2 linked regions of the Struthio camelus genome follow. The protein of the gene in region 2 purifies or fractionates together with the protein of the main gene of each other region. This does not show direct contact. Links are inferred from orthologs where the notes say so. Each region holds a gene or a part of one and is shown on either strand. Other genes may lie near its edges.

Region 1 (7,868 bases), on a different chromosome or scaffold from region 2:
GCTTTTAACACTAATAATTCAATGAATTTGTACATCTTTCTGAGGAAGCCAAGAGTTCAACATCATGTATTTTTGCAAATATTTGCTATACACCAAAAAATGTTTTAAGAACAGCTACTTAGTTTGCCTGTACACAAGACCACATATGTAAGAAGTTTTACCATATATAGTTTCTTCTCCATCGCACTGTGGTTTTATACCGACTCTTTCACTTCCTACTGAGTCATCAAACAGTAAGAACTTGTACGTATAAGTATTCTTTCAAACGAAAAGAATGAGGAAGCTTTCTACATCTGCTCACAAACATGTCACATGAAAAGTCTTAAAATGGATAATATTATTCTTATCAGGACTCTTTACTTGATTTTTTTAATTGATGCAACTCTCAAAAAAAGATTTTAAATATAATTAGAAAACTATCCAGATCATAAAGTAACTTATCATTTGACCTAGACCAGTAAGAACATTCATCTCAAACGCTCCAAGATGGCATCGCCAGCTTCCCTCTCTTACACTGTGTGTTGCAAGAACACACTTCTTGGTCACTTGTTCCTCAAAGACTGATTGCAGTCAAATACATTAAAAACTCATATTTCAGCATGACAAGAACAGTAAGTTTCAAAAGAAGCCGAAAGTTAAAACTGAGTCTAAAATTCCTGCATTTTTATTTCCGGCACTTGGCAAGAGATTTAACTTTAGTCATGGTTTAAGTAAGACATATCACAGTGTATCAGACACTATTCTAATGTAAAGCAGCTCTTCTTTACCATATAACAATGTTTACTATAAAAATGCTGGTTTGGCAATACAGGACTTGATATTCTCAGTATACAGGTGGAGTCTGAAAGACGTATGGATCTTATGAACTGAATTTTCTTCTGGTGTACTTACCCCAATTCAATTTGAATATTTTAAGTTTACAGATTTAACAACAACCATTTCTTCATACTTTGCACTAGCACACAGTCATCTCTGGGGCCAGGGGATGGCCATACATGCATTGTTCTGCTTAGAGGTAAAACTCAACCCAAAACAACAGAAGTTGAAGTGACACAGACCCCTACTCCAGGCACTGTAACTGCAGTATAACAGTATTTGTCGTATTTGTTTATATCCAGGTGGTACAATTCATGGAGAAAAAAATATATCAGATGTCTCTTTGATTTAAAAAGACACACAGATATGTCTCACTGCACAAAAATCGTGTCCCAACTACAGCTTGCAAAACTGCATAAAAATAACCGCTTCTGTCCCATGTTTCATCCCTGAGATCGACTACAGTATGACATTATGGTCACTATCTATATGTTAAACATTTTAAAACAATATTTTTATACTTTTTTATACCTTTTAAAGCCATTCATTGCTACGTAAAAGGCTGTATTAAAGGATCAAATCCTGAAATTACATAAATTTCCAACAAAGGTGACAGTATGAGCATTAAACACTTAAAAAAAACAACCAACCAACAGAACCCTGCCTCCATGTCCATTTGTAAATGGAAAACGATAAATCGCCTCTTTTTCTTTCCTTTGTGTAAATGATATTGCAAAAAAGGCCCAAAGGCTTTCTACCTCAGCACTTACTCAAAAGAATCTTTCTAGAGGAGGAAAAAGAGGAAGACTTCAGAACTGTCAAATCCGATGTTCTGCTTTTTGAATCATTCTAATCATTTCAGATGCTTACTGGAAATGCCTTAATTCATGTGGCAGGGTGTTGAACCTCTTACAGTGACGTTCTTTGTTTCAACTATTCAATCTTTAGCTTTAAATATTTTAATCTTTATTCAAAGTGTTTATTAAAAAATACTTCTTTTTTTGCCATTCGAGAGTTCTTGACAACCTGTCAGCTTTGTTAACTCCCCTGATAATATTGCTTTTCTGGGGGGAAAAATTTCAATTGCTAAACAAAATTACTAAGGCGGAAATTCACCTATAACATCTTATCTGATGCCTTTAAAATGGTATCTTTGTCACTTCCTGTTGAGGCACCTCAAAGCCTCCATAACACTAACAAAAGAACAAATTTATAGTGTGCACGTGCATGTTCACGTAGGGCAGGAAAGGTGAAAGGAAGAGGAGGAAAGCTTTGGCGCCCTCTTTATCCACGACTCCCAATTCGGTGAATTTTGCAGGTCATAAAGCTATTAATGAAAGGACCCCGCTGCCTTTTAACCACAAGCTGCATGACATGCTTCCGTGAAACCAAAAAACTCGCATTACAGAGGGCGCATCTCTGCCTGCCTAAATGCGAAACGGATAAACTGAGCGTTCCGATTAAAAATAAAAAAAAAATAAAATAAAACCGTATTTTCTGCTTGGTACTCCTTACTAAAGGGAAACCCGCTAAAGTCATATATAGGAATACAATACGCGTAATAAAATTGCCACGATGCTGGGGGACGGGCACAGATAGAGACCCGACGGCAGTAAATACCGAGGTACTACCGCTTCCCGGGTGCAAGGACTCAAATGCCCCTTTTCGCTCGCTCCGGCTCAAAGGACACCGGCCGCCAGCCGCCGCAGGGCCCGACTTCCCCTGCCGACCTCCCCCGGCCCATTCATTCAGCGCGCCGCCGCCGCCGCTGCGCGGCTCGCTGCGCGCCCGGAGGCCGGCGCGGGCGGAGGGCCGAGGGCGCGCGGATCCCGTCGGCCCCGGGAGCCTCCCCCGCCCGGTGCACGGGCGGCCGCAGGGGCCCCGCTCCGCCGCGGCGAGCTCTGGAGGCCCCGGGGCGGCGCAGGCCGGGCGCGGCCCGCTGCCGGGCCCCGGGCGTGCCGGCAGGAAGCCGGGCCGGGAGGGGAGTCGCCCTGCTTCTCCCCCCGCGGCGGCGGCGGCAGGGCGGGTCCCGGGGCCGGAGCGACTCACCCCGGTGCCGTTGTCGCACACCACCACCTTCCTGCCTAGCGTGTCCATGCCGCCACCGAGCAACCGCCACCCCAACCGTCACTGCCGCCGCCGCCGCCCCAACCGTCGCCGCCGCCGCCGCCGCCGCGCCCCCCGCCCCGCCGCGCGCGCCGGAAGCCGTCACCGCGCGGCCCCGCCCAATCAGCGCCGCCGCCGCGCGGCCCCGCCCAATCAGAGCCGCCGGCAGGCCGCCACCGCCCGCCCCTTCCCCCCCCGCCGCGTTGCCATGGCGGCGGCCCGCGGCCCCCTCACAGCCGCCGGCCCGCGGCCCCGCCAGCCCGTCCGCCGCCGCCCCTCGCCCCAGCCTCCTACCCGGCCGGGTAGGCCCGGAAAAGAGCCGGATAATGCTCCTTTTCTTCTCCTTTCCAGCCGGCCCTTCTCCGCCACGCGGGGGCCGAGCCGTTCCCCGGGCGCCGCCGGGCCGCCTCGCCCCGTAATGGCGGAGGGGGGTTTCTGGGCCGCCCTCGGTCATCTGGGCCCTCGCGGCCAGGCGGATCGGCTTCGTCTGCCCCTCGGAGTGCCCCGGCGTGCTGTGAGAGGAGCCGGCTGGCACCCAGCCACCCCGCTGCCCTCGGGCAGGGCAGGCCCTTCCTCCCCGGAGAGCTGTCGGCTGCTCCGGAGCCGCTTTCTGCCTGCTCTCGTCCTTCCCACTTTCCTATTTTACGCGGGATCCGTTAGCCAGGCCGCGTTTTTATATAACGACATTAAATCACGCCGCTGTTAAATTTACGGAGCCACTCGTCGTCGATACTGCGTTATTTTTACGGTTAACTGCTCTTAAGCAGCTTTTGCTCTCCCGCGTTTACATTAGCCCATCAAACAGGATGCCCTTCCCAAGCGGTTTGCCTTCTTCCATGGGCTCCGAATAGAGGAAAGAGCAAATACAGTCTCTCAGTTTGCCTCTGATAGCCTGGTGCCATTTTCCTTGCCTTTCCCCAAACCCTACGGACTTCCAGGCGACTCGAGAGATGAGGGGCGTATGCTAATTTTTTACTTCTGTGGCACTAGCTGTGTCAATCCTATATGAACAACAGCACGTTTTAATTAGACATAGCAGAAACTATGTCAGCACAATGATTTCTGTGTTCAGGTTGCAGATAAATAATGGCTGTTGCTGTGTGTGTGTGGTTTTTTTTTTTTTTTTTTTTTTTGCTTTGGAGTCTACAGACTAGTGGGAACAGTAAGAAATTTTTTAAAAATCAGAATATGCATAATATTTGACTTTTTTTTTTTTTTACTTTAATGATGTTCAGATATTGAGAATGATGAGAAGACATGGCATTATCTAGTAGGACGAGGAGGCTATCCAAACAAAGATGGAGAAATCCAGTCCAATATAGCTGTAATGGAAGGACTTCCTGGTTGCTGTGGAGCAGTAGCAGCCTCACCTGGGTATGAACTGCACTCTACTACGAGTGTGTTGAACATTCATTTTAGGTTTTCTTCAGTGCATGATGTTTTGATGCTGATAAAAGTGAAGGATTTACGTTGTTGGTTAAAGCCAGGTACAAAAAGCAATGGCTTTAAAAGCCTGCTCTTGGTCCAGAAACATTAGTTAGTCTGTATAACTCAAATCACTCGGCTTGTTCAGCTCAGCTTAGACGGCTCAGACATGGGAACTAGCTCCTGTTTATTGCTCTGATGTTAGACTTGCTGTAAATTCTGGACAGATCACTTAACCTGCCAAGCTGCCCTGGCCTCAGTTTCAGTAAGCTGGGTATGATACCATGCCATACCATACACATGCCCATTAATAAGGAACTTGACCCATCAGTGAATGAAAAATGCTGCAGTTTGTATTCTAATCGTCTGTTGATTTGTCAGGCAGAAGGCTTCAGTGATGTCTCCTTATGTAGAATGATGGCAAAATACAGTCTGTTCTGAGGCAAACTGGATTTTTAACTTGGGAGGCCTGAAGGAAAAAAAACTCAAAATGCATTAGCTAACTTTTCTGAGATTAGATATTCACTAGGTCCCTATAAATATGCTTAAGATTTTAATTTGATTATGATAACACAGATCCCCCGTCACTTTTATTATATGATCCCTTTTCTAAGGGGATGCTGGCTATTAATTAAAGAAAAATCTGAATTGTAAAGGGTTAGTTTGAGAAGTGCAGTCAGAACTTACAGTGTCATTAAAGCCACTCAAGAGACAGTGACATTAAGTCTGCCCGATCACTGCAAAATCAGTAGTTAATTTGCTGCATCTAGCGTAGCATGTAAGACCGCATCAAAGGGATGCAAGTTCTGTAACGGAAATAGGCCTATTAAGGAGGAACTTATGTACTGCACAGTATAGTCATTAGATCCATCACTGTACTCGCTACCAGCTATTGCTGTCAGTTGTTGGATAGCCTTAAAAGATTTTTGGTGTTTTATCGAAGGTCACATACAATGCAGGAAAGGAAATACAATGTGTTTTGAACTTAACTGTATTTTTGAGCTTATTTACCTGCTTAAATTGAACAGAGATACTGCTTCATGTTCAAAAGTAAAAAAAAAAAAAAAAGTATTAAGGTTGCAGAGCATGGCAGGAACCTTCTTAGAGTAAGGAGAGAAGTTGTAGTGTGGTCAGTATTTGTCAGAGCCCTTTACTATGAGCAGGATAATGGAGAATGTCTTCTCCGTGCCAGTGTGTCCACTGTTGTATCAATGGAGAATGAGATCTGTTCTCTGCGTTAGGGGCATTGAGGAACAGCACAAAGCCAGAGAGATTCTGTGACGTATCTGTATTTGTGAAGTGCTTGAACCATGCTGAAAGTACAATATATTTATTAATGCATCAAAGTAGCAGGTTTAATTAAACTACCTCCAAGATATACAGGGACTGGTATATCTTTTGTAGATCAGTCATACAATGCAAAGATATATTGGAGGGGAAAGCTTAAAAATCAGGGAATTTATGAGAAAAAACGTAGGGTACTGTGTACATGTGAATTGCCTTCTCTGTATATATCCTGCATGTATTCCATTCTGTGCATATTCCAGTTAGTGCAACCTGCTCAGAAGGTAGTAAAGCAAAATGCAAGCGTATCAGAAAATAATAGATAAAAATATTTTTTTATATTTTTGGAGTCTAACAGTTTGGGGTATATACTCCATAATCTAGTTTTCTTCTGTTGCTCTTAAAGTACTGGAGAGAACTATCCACGCTTTCCTAATAGGAGATGGTGCTGTATCTTTTGCGGGAGAGCAGGACTTCATGATAGCCTTGTCACTCCAGCCTTCAAAAAGGGCAAGAAGGAGCCAGGAAACTACAGGCCTGTCAGCCTCACCTCCCTCCCTGGAAAGGTGATGGAACAGCTCATCCTGGAGGTCCTCACTAAGCATCTGGAGGACAAGAAGGGGATCAGGAGTAGTCAGCATGGATTCACCCAAGGGAAATCATGCTTGACCAATCTGATAGCCTTCTCTGATGGAATGACTGGCTGGGTAGATGAGGGCAGGGCAGTGGCTGTTGTCTGCCTGGACTTCAGCAAGGCTTTTGACGCTGTCTCCCATCACATCCTCATGGGTAAGCTCAGGAAGTGTGGGTTGGATGAGTGGACAGCGAGGTGGATTGAGAACTGGCTGGATGGCCGAGCTCAGAGGATTGTGGTCAGTGGTGCAGTCTAGCTGGAGGCCTGTAGCTAGCGATGTCCCCCAGGGATCAGTGCTGGGTCCAGTCTTGTTCAATATATTCATCAATGACCTGGATGAAGGGACCGAGTGCACCCTCAGCAAGTTTGCTGCCGATACTAAACTGGGGGGAGTGGCTGACACACCAGAAGACTGTGCTGCCATTCCGAGGGACCTGGACAGGCTGGAGAGCTGGGCAGAGAGGAACCTCCTGAAGTTCAACATAGGCAAGTGCAGGGTCCTGCACCTAGGCAGGAATAACCCCATGCAGCAGTACAGGCTGGGGGTTGACCTGCTGGAAAGCAGCTCTGTGGAGAAGGACCTGGGAGTGCTGGTGGACAACAAGTTAAGCATGAGCCAGCAATGTGCCCTTGTGGCCAAGAAGGCCAATGGTATCCTTTGTGTTGAGTGTTGCCAGCAGGTTGAGGGAGGTGATCCTGCCCCTCTGCTCAGCCCTGGGGAGGCCTCACCTGGAGTACTGTGTCCGATTCTGGGCTCCCCAGTACTGGAGCGAGTCTGGTAGAGGGCTACAAAGACGATTAGGGGACTGGAGCATCTCTCCTCTGAAGAAAGGCTGAGAGAGCTGGGCCTGTTGAGCCTGGAGAAGAGAAGACAGAGGGGATCTGATCCATGTGTACAAGTATCTGAAGGGGGGGGTGCTGAGAGGATGAGGCCAGTCTCTTCTCCGTGGTGCCCAGCAACAGGACAAGAGGCAACGGGCACAAACTGCAACACAGGCAGGTCCATCTGAACCTGAGGAAAAACTTCTTGACTGTGAGGGTGACAGAGCCCTGGCACAGGTTGCCCAGAGAGGTTGTGGAGTCTCCTTTGCTGGAGATATTCAAAACCCGCCTGGACGTGATCCTGGGCAACGTGCTCTAGAGGTCCCTGCTTCAGTAGGGGAGTTGGACTAGATGATCTCCAGAGGTCCCTTCCAACCTCAACCATTCTGTGAAATTCTGTGAAATAGCAGATAATAAAAGCATGATGACTAAGCAGAGTGCTGAAAGCTTATCAGGTAAAGTACTGCATCTATCTTCTGCTGAGAGGGATACATTTTTATGAACTTGCCGAACAAGTGATCTATGCTTATCCTGATGTGTAGGCATAGAGAAACCATATGCACAGAGGCAGGAATGACTCAGAACGGAAAGAGAAGAATGAGTTATTGGGACAGCTGTCCCAGACGTCTGCTCGGTATAGCAGAAGAAGGAGGGTCTAGGAGGAACAGATGACATCTCTTCTGCATCTGGTCAGCCTTAGAAATGTTCTTAGTTCTATCACAAGGCAGCCTGGAGAGTCTAAAAGCACAGCAAATAGTGCTTTTCTAGACCCGCTCTCACT
Region 2 (7,084 bases):
TCAGGAGATTAAATTGACATGTCCAGAACATTCATAGACAACTATAATTTGCTGACATATTATTTGATAAAACTATTCACATGTATCCTAGGGAAAAATTACAAAAAACAGTAATTAATTACTAATTTCTTCAAATTAATACATGCACTTAACTGTTCTATAGTTATGTTTTCTTCCCCATGAGATTTAAACACTAAGAGAACAAGCTAAATTAGTCTAGTTTGTCAATACTTTGGGGGAAAAAAAAACTAGCTACCCAGTTTTTTCTTTAACTTATAACTACATCAGAAGAGATGGCCCTGAACATCTGCAACTGGAGGTGCAAAGCTGTTTAAAATTTCATATCATATTCTATGTCTCGCATTAATCAATGGCAGCATAAATGGATGGAAGATAACATCACAGCAGCTCAAGGTCACCTATAATAATTAAAATGTGCATAGTTCAGCACATACAACTTAGATTTGCCAATTCCATCCTCCTTCTGTATATTCCACTATATTTCATAGCAATTTATTCTTGGCTGATGGATCAAAGTCTTTTACCTCTACATCTACATCTAAAAAGAAAAACCTCTGTGGTGTCATTCCAAGACATCCACACCCATTATAGCCTGAAATTACAACATACCCAAGTATGGCCATGTTAGCAGAGGGTGGAGACTTCAGGGCAAGGTAGGAATTTGGAGGCAAACAGGAAATGAATGGCAATTCAATAGAAACTGAGGAGTGAATGAAAGATGAGCAAGTTCTTACTGAGTTTAGCAATTACTATCACAGCACTAGTATATCAAATACACAGAAAGTGCTGAATCCTGAAGTAGAGATGACATAGCACCTCATTAATGCAAAGGGGTGAAAAGACTCTTCTCTAAAGAAATCATGCACTGCTGTTTTAAACTTAAAGAAACACGACTCCCAATTGCATTGGAAGTGTACTTCAATCATAACTTTCAACTACATGAGCTTTAAGTCCAATTCCTAATTTTAACTGACACTAATTTCATGATTCTCCTAATAATCATATTCTGCAAACCAAACTAAGCTATTAAATATATGCAGTGCTAAGCAAAATAATTTTTTTCAATTAATGTGAGCTTGTTGACATAATCTGAGTTACCTTTGACCTTGGACAGCCATGATTTGAGATTCCATGTGTTAATGTAAGCAAAACATGTCTGTGAATTGCGTTTTCCACGATCTTGCTTTCGTACTTGCCAACATGCAGTAGCAGTACATTTCCATATACAGGAAAAGTTGAAGAGCTGTTCTACCAACAAGGAATGCTCAGCTTTTTCTACTCTTTCCGAAATAAAAATTTAAAAACATCTAATTCTCCCCCCTCCCCAAGGAATGTAGCTATTTCAAAGCACTTTCTAATACAGCCCTGGTATTTTCTGCACAGATTGGCACTATGTATAAAAGGCACAGTCTCATCCTAATAATACCTAGTTCAGGGATTTTTACTTTCTAACCCACTGGCTGTTCCAAAAACTTGTATCTAGACAGGAGATATGATCCATCCTTGCCCACTGATAGAGTTTCTCAAGCACCATAACCTGTAGCAAGTGACAGCTTCCTCTTTTGGTTTGGTAACAAACTTATAAAAAACAATAATGATGATAACCTCAAAAAGCACTACTAGTTCTCCTGTCTGAACTTGCAGTTTTTTTTTTTCTTTAGGAAGATACATCGTAATGAAATCTTCCAGCTATATTTATTCCTTATCAACGCGCAGACAAAATCAAACTCACACTTCACTACAGAAAACACAACTCTCTCTGTGAATCTTGATACAATTGATAGGTAGTAAAAACCTTAATATCCTCCTGCAGCCAATCTCAGGATCTCACATAGGAAAAAGGTGCTCTTAAGCTAACTTTGTCAGCAAGGTACTTAGGGTAGCTATCCCTAATTTTTTTTTGTCAAATGCAGAGTAACTGTCCTTGAGTTTCAGTGCAAAAAAAAAATGGAAATGTTGTATGCTTGTACAGCACAAGCTTCTTGGGCATGCAGGCTGAAAGGGTGGTGGTTGGGAAAGACGGGACTCAGCTGCTGTCATTCCTCAACGGGGTAAAAAATGTGCGGTATAAGGCTACCCCGGGCCAAGCAACCAGCAAGGACTGGGGTTTGGAATCTGAGATAGCACGTGTGTGCGCACGTCTGAGAGACGGAGAGAGACAGAGAGATAACTTTTTAATCCTTGCCTATTTTCAGAGCGCCGACATCATCTGCAAACATCTGGCAGAGAAGCGCCTATAATTAAGGGCTGCCTCCTACCGCTGTCATCCCCGTCCCAGTCCCCGCAGCGCTGCTCTCCCGTGGGGGGTCGCTCCCCGCAGGCACGGCACACCATCAGCCTGACAAAGCCGACCGGCTCGGGATGGCTGCCGGCGGCCCTGCCCGCGCTGACAACACCACTGCTCGACCGGGAGAGAGCCGAGCGCCGAGCCCACCCCCGCCCCTCACCCCCTCCCCGGCGGCCGCCTACCGCGGCCCCATCCACCGCCCGGGCGCCCCGTCCCCTCAGGGCGACGCGCGGCGCCGGCGCCACAAGGGCGTCCCCCCTCCCCCCTTCTCGGCGGCGGGAGGGGGGGGGGAGCGCGCCCCTCCCCTCCCCCCCCCCGGGCAGGCCCGCGCTGAGGTGAATCTCCCTCCTCCTCCTCCTCCGCCATCCCCGCGGCACCGGCAGGCCCCCCCTCCTCCGCCCCCCTCCGCGCGTGGCAGGCCGCCGCGGACAGCCACCCGCGGCGCGGGGCTCACCTGAGGCGGCGGGAGCGGAGCGGGACTCGCGGACTCTGGTCAGTCAACGCGACTCCGCTCCGAGCGGCGGCAGAGGGAGCGGCCGGCGGCGGAGGCCGAAAGGGAGGGGGGAAAGGGGGGAAGGGGGCGGCCCGGCACTGACAAGGGAGCCAGGAAACGCGCTCTGCGCCTGCGCGCCGCCCGCCGCCCGCCCCGCGGGCTGCGCCTGCGCCGCCGCCGCGCTGCAGGGGCGGGGGAAGCCGGGGAAGGGTGGGGAGGGAGCCGGGTGGTCGCTCTGCGCCTGCGCGGGACGGGGGCCACGCCCCACGGGCGTCGGGCGAGCGCCGCACACAAAGGCGGCCGTGGTGGGGGGAGGAGGGCGCATGCGCCGCGGGGAGCGCGCAGGCGCCGCGAGGGGGTGGGTGGTGTCGGGGGCGGCTGCTGCTCCCCGGGGAGGAGGGGGGTGTTTTGGGGAGTATTTTAGTGAGTATGGGAGAAGCGTTAAGAGAGTGATTTTGTCGGTCTTGGTGTTTTTTAGCCTCGTGAGGTGAAGGAGACCATGTCTACATCTGCTAGAGGGGGCAGGAGACCCGGCGTCTCCTGGCCTGGAGCCTTGGGGGTGTGTGAAGGCGCCGAGGCCGCTGCGGCTTGCTGGGTGGCTGTGTGGGCCTGTCAGGGTGTGAGGAGAGCCCTAGAGCCGAGAGGTGGAGGCAGTGGGATTTGTGAGCTTGATAATTTTGACTTCTTCAGGTTCTGGAAAAGCAGAGTGCTACGCCTTCCCTGCTTTCCTCCCTCTTGGAGACCAAAGGATTGGTGAAAAGAAAGAAAAAGAACCTCTTAGTGCAGGCGTTAACAGTCCCTTCCTGGGTCTTCAGGAGCTCTAGGACCTTCCCTCCTATCTGGCTGGAATATAGAAAGAAATGCAGTTGCAGTTCTTTGCCCTACTCTTAATTCCCTAGAGAAGTTGCCTGCCATTTGGGGTCTGATGATTTGGCTTCTGTAAAACTTACAAACTTTGTTGTCTTTGAGGCATGCAGTAGGGAGAGATGAGTGACTCTGAGATATGCTGGGGGGGCCATAGAGTAGTAAGCTTAATTTCTAGTCCCAGGAAAAAATAAAAAATTTATAAGCATCTGGAAGGAAATGAGAAAGTGAACGTTAACCAGTATGGCTTTGTCAAGAATGGGTTGAACCAGTCCAGTTTCCTTTTCTGGCAGTGTAACAGGGCTTGCAGATAAGGGAGAAGCAGCGCATGTCATATAGGATAGTCTAATAATAAACTGGGAAACCAGTCTAGATGATACTGTTCTAAGGGAGTTGCAAAACTAGTTGAGAAAAATATACTTGATATCAGTGCTTCTACTGGGAGCTACCCTGGGCCCATTACTCACCAATGATGAGATTATAATTATTGCATTTGAACATGAGATCGAGTCTAACGGCAGCATAAGTACATGGTCATGGAGCTAGAATTCAGAATAGCAACTCTATGAAAAAATAGGATGCAGTTCTTTAACAGTTGTACACTAGCATGATCAACTTCAGAATTACAGGACAGGATCAACTGGGCAGCTGGCTATTCTGCAAGAAAGGATGGAGGAGCTGTACTGTTTCCCGAATAGGTATCGATAATGTCTCGCTGTTGCAGAAAAGGCAAACACCACACCAGGGCTATGAGGATTAAGCAAATCGTCAGTAAGACATACTCAGAAATTGTTCAGCTCTACTGAGCTATATAAAATCTTTGCTAGATGAGTATATCCGGTCCTGGTCTCCACATAAGAAAATTAGGGATAATTTGGAGAAAGAGGTGAAAAATACGATCAGAGTCTTTTAACCTGTGACTTTTATTGAGGCTGTTGAGAAAAGAGAAGACTAGGGAAAAATGCAGTAAGTCTCCAAATACATAAAAGGCTACTGCTCTGAGGAAAGGAACAATTTGTTCTTTTATGTCCACTGTGGGTAGGGCAAGAAGTCATAAGCTAAAATAATAACAATGGAGATCTAGGTTACAGTGGAAGCTCAAATTGTTGAAAATCCCTATCTAAGCACTATGGGGAACTGTCTTGATGAGATGTGGGCTCTTACCAGAAGTTTTTGAGAATAGTTTTGAAAAATACTTGTTAGTATTGCATAAATGCAATATAAGATCTTGCTTTTGGATAAGAGGCTAGACTAGATGATCTCATGAACCGGTGTCACTACAGTTCTGTAACTCTGAGATAAGTAATCATTGCGGCCCTTACTGGATTAACAACAAAACTAGATCAGATGCACAGGTTAAACACATGCAACTAGGCCAAGTAAAATTACATAATATGAATGAAATTACTTCTAAGTATGGTTCCATGTTTACAAGATGATTTTCACCTGACAAGGTGAAAGTAACTAAACAAGGACCTCTGCAGGAGCTCAGAACTTTTAAACATTAAATGTTACGGTCTTGTCTCCAGCGAAGGATTTTGGAGAGTTTTCCACCTTTGTTCTTGCTGTATTGCTGATGCAATTGTGCTGTGCTAATCCAGAAAGGATGCCAATGTTTTTGTTATTAAGGCCGCACAAGCTAGGCTGAACTGAGCTCAGTAAAAATAGTCTAGATACAGTCTGACAGTAAGATTTTTATGGGGAAAAAAAAAAAAAAAAAGAGTTGGGACATCCTTTGCCGTTGTTGGCATTTTTTTTAAATAGCGACTGCATGCAGTTGGGTCACAAGCTAGTCAAAAAGAGGTCTTTTGGATTCAAAGCAAGCTATTGTATGTAAAAACAGATATTTGCAAATGAAAATATTTGCCGTGAGAGGGGTTCTAGATGTGCATTGTTAGCTCCAGTATTTGAAAATACAGCACTCCTAACCATGGAGAGAGAATCATTACATGCCTCATGTTTAAAAGGGATAGACAGCAAATGTCTTTCTTTCCTAATTGCGTTTCCTGACAGCTGCTCTAGAATAGCTATCTAGATAATAATAGTTTTATCAAAATCTGTTTTCATCAATAATATTCTTGAATTCTAAAGAGCATTGCCTTAAGATCAGATAAAGTCACTATTGATTTTAGTACTTTCAAATTTGGGGTTTCTAAGCAGGGAAAGTTAATTTATGTCACTGTCCTGCTTTTTGGCTACTTGATACAAAGTCCTATTTGTCAACTCCTGTTTTAACTTTGTGGAATGTGTTAAATGGCCATAATACAGAATGGGAAAGAAGGCAGAATGCTTCCTGTTTGCGTTTTAACCAAAATTTTGCTGTGCCGTCTCTTTTTCCGTACTGGCTTTCTAGGTAGGGAAGAGCTTGCTCCTGACTGCTTTTACCCCCCTGCCAGATAAGATCTGCAGTGAAGTGGGTAAGAGCCTGCTGCTCAGGCCCTAGGCTCAAACTCTAAATGACCACCTCTAGAGCAAAGTATAAAGAGTATGACATCTGGCAACACCTGTCCTGCTGGTAGCCTGCTTTTCAAAGATTGTATGCCTAAATGCATTTGTTCCAGTTGTCCAAGCAAGGCTTGGTGACCAACAGCAGCATAGTGGGGTTTGGAAGACAGCAGTTTTACTCTAGCTCCTACAGAAAATGATGTCCACTAGAAAAGTGGAGAAAATGGCAGCAGTAGTTATCCCCATTTTAGATTGTGACAGAAAAATTGTGCCTTGGTATTGTTAATACTGGCTGGCTCAAGGCATTGAACAGGAGAGCGGGAATGGGAAGGAGACTCTCTTTTCATGTGATAGCATTATAGGTGAGCAACTCTGACACCGTAAAAGGGGTAGCATCACAAAGCAGCAACTTCAAGTTTTTCTCATACAATAAGCTCTTCTAAGACTAAGCATTAGGACTACCAGTGAGAAGAATTATTTCTGTCCTTGACATGAAAAATGCAATATCCGTGTTAGCACAGATCGTTTTCAAGTTATACTAGATGTGCCTTCCATCATTCTAAGTATACTCGAGAAGTGTATTTGCAAGCTTTCAGGTCTGACACACGGGTAGTTCTTCTCTCTGCAGATAGTTGCAGATTTTGTTGTCTTTCTTCCGGTCTTTCCCACGTAGGTGTCTTCTTGATATCCTAGACTTGTTTCTATCACTACTTTAGCAATTTTTTAAAATGGTAAGCTGTGCAGTACCCTGGGGAAAAAAAAAAAAAGAGGACACTGAAGCTGTATTGCGGTAGCGTCTTATTTAGCTTTCATCAGCTCGCTAGGAAGAAGACAGAATTACTGTTATGTCCAGGCAAATTCCCATCAAAATGTTCCAAACCTCTCTCTTTTTTGAAGGAATCCCTTTTATAAGCAATGATGTGTAGCCTCTCCTTTTTCCAGCAGAGGAAGAAGGAGAGGGAAGAGGAACTGGG

What was found. Proteins that work in one complex are often made in the same cells at the same time.
Region 1: the proteins of ARPC1A (region 2) and ACTR2 purify together in Homo sapiens (affinity purification with mass spectrometry; 9 studies listed by BioGRID and IntAct, counting the BioPlex papers as one, with this or other methods). This does not show direct contact. The link is inferred for Struthio camelus from reciprocal best matches to the Homo sapiens genes ARPC1A and ACTR2.

Annotation. Positions count from the first base shown.
Region 1 is NC_090944.1:141,298,134-141,306,001, reverse strand, and holds the start of ACTR2 (actin-related protein 2), read right to left. Parts: upstream 3,002-7,868; 5' UTR 2,914-3,001; coding exon 2,866-2,913; intron 2,546-2,865; exon of another isoform or gene 2,437-2,545; intron 1-2,436. UniProt on the Homo sapiens protein: ATP-binding component of the Arp2/3 complex, a multiprotein complex that mediates actin polymerization upon stimulation by nucleation-promoting factor (NPF).
Region 2 is NC_090956.1:4,596,086-4,603,169, forward strand, and holds the start of ARPC1A (actin-related protein 2/3 complex subunit 1A), read right to left. Parts: upstream 3,014-7,084; 5' UTR 2,763-3,013; intron 1-2,762. UniProt on the Homo sapiens protein: Probably functions as a component of the Arp2/3 complex which is involved in regulation of actin polymerization and together with an activating nucleation-promoting factor (NPF) mediates the formation of branched actin networks.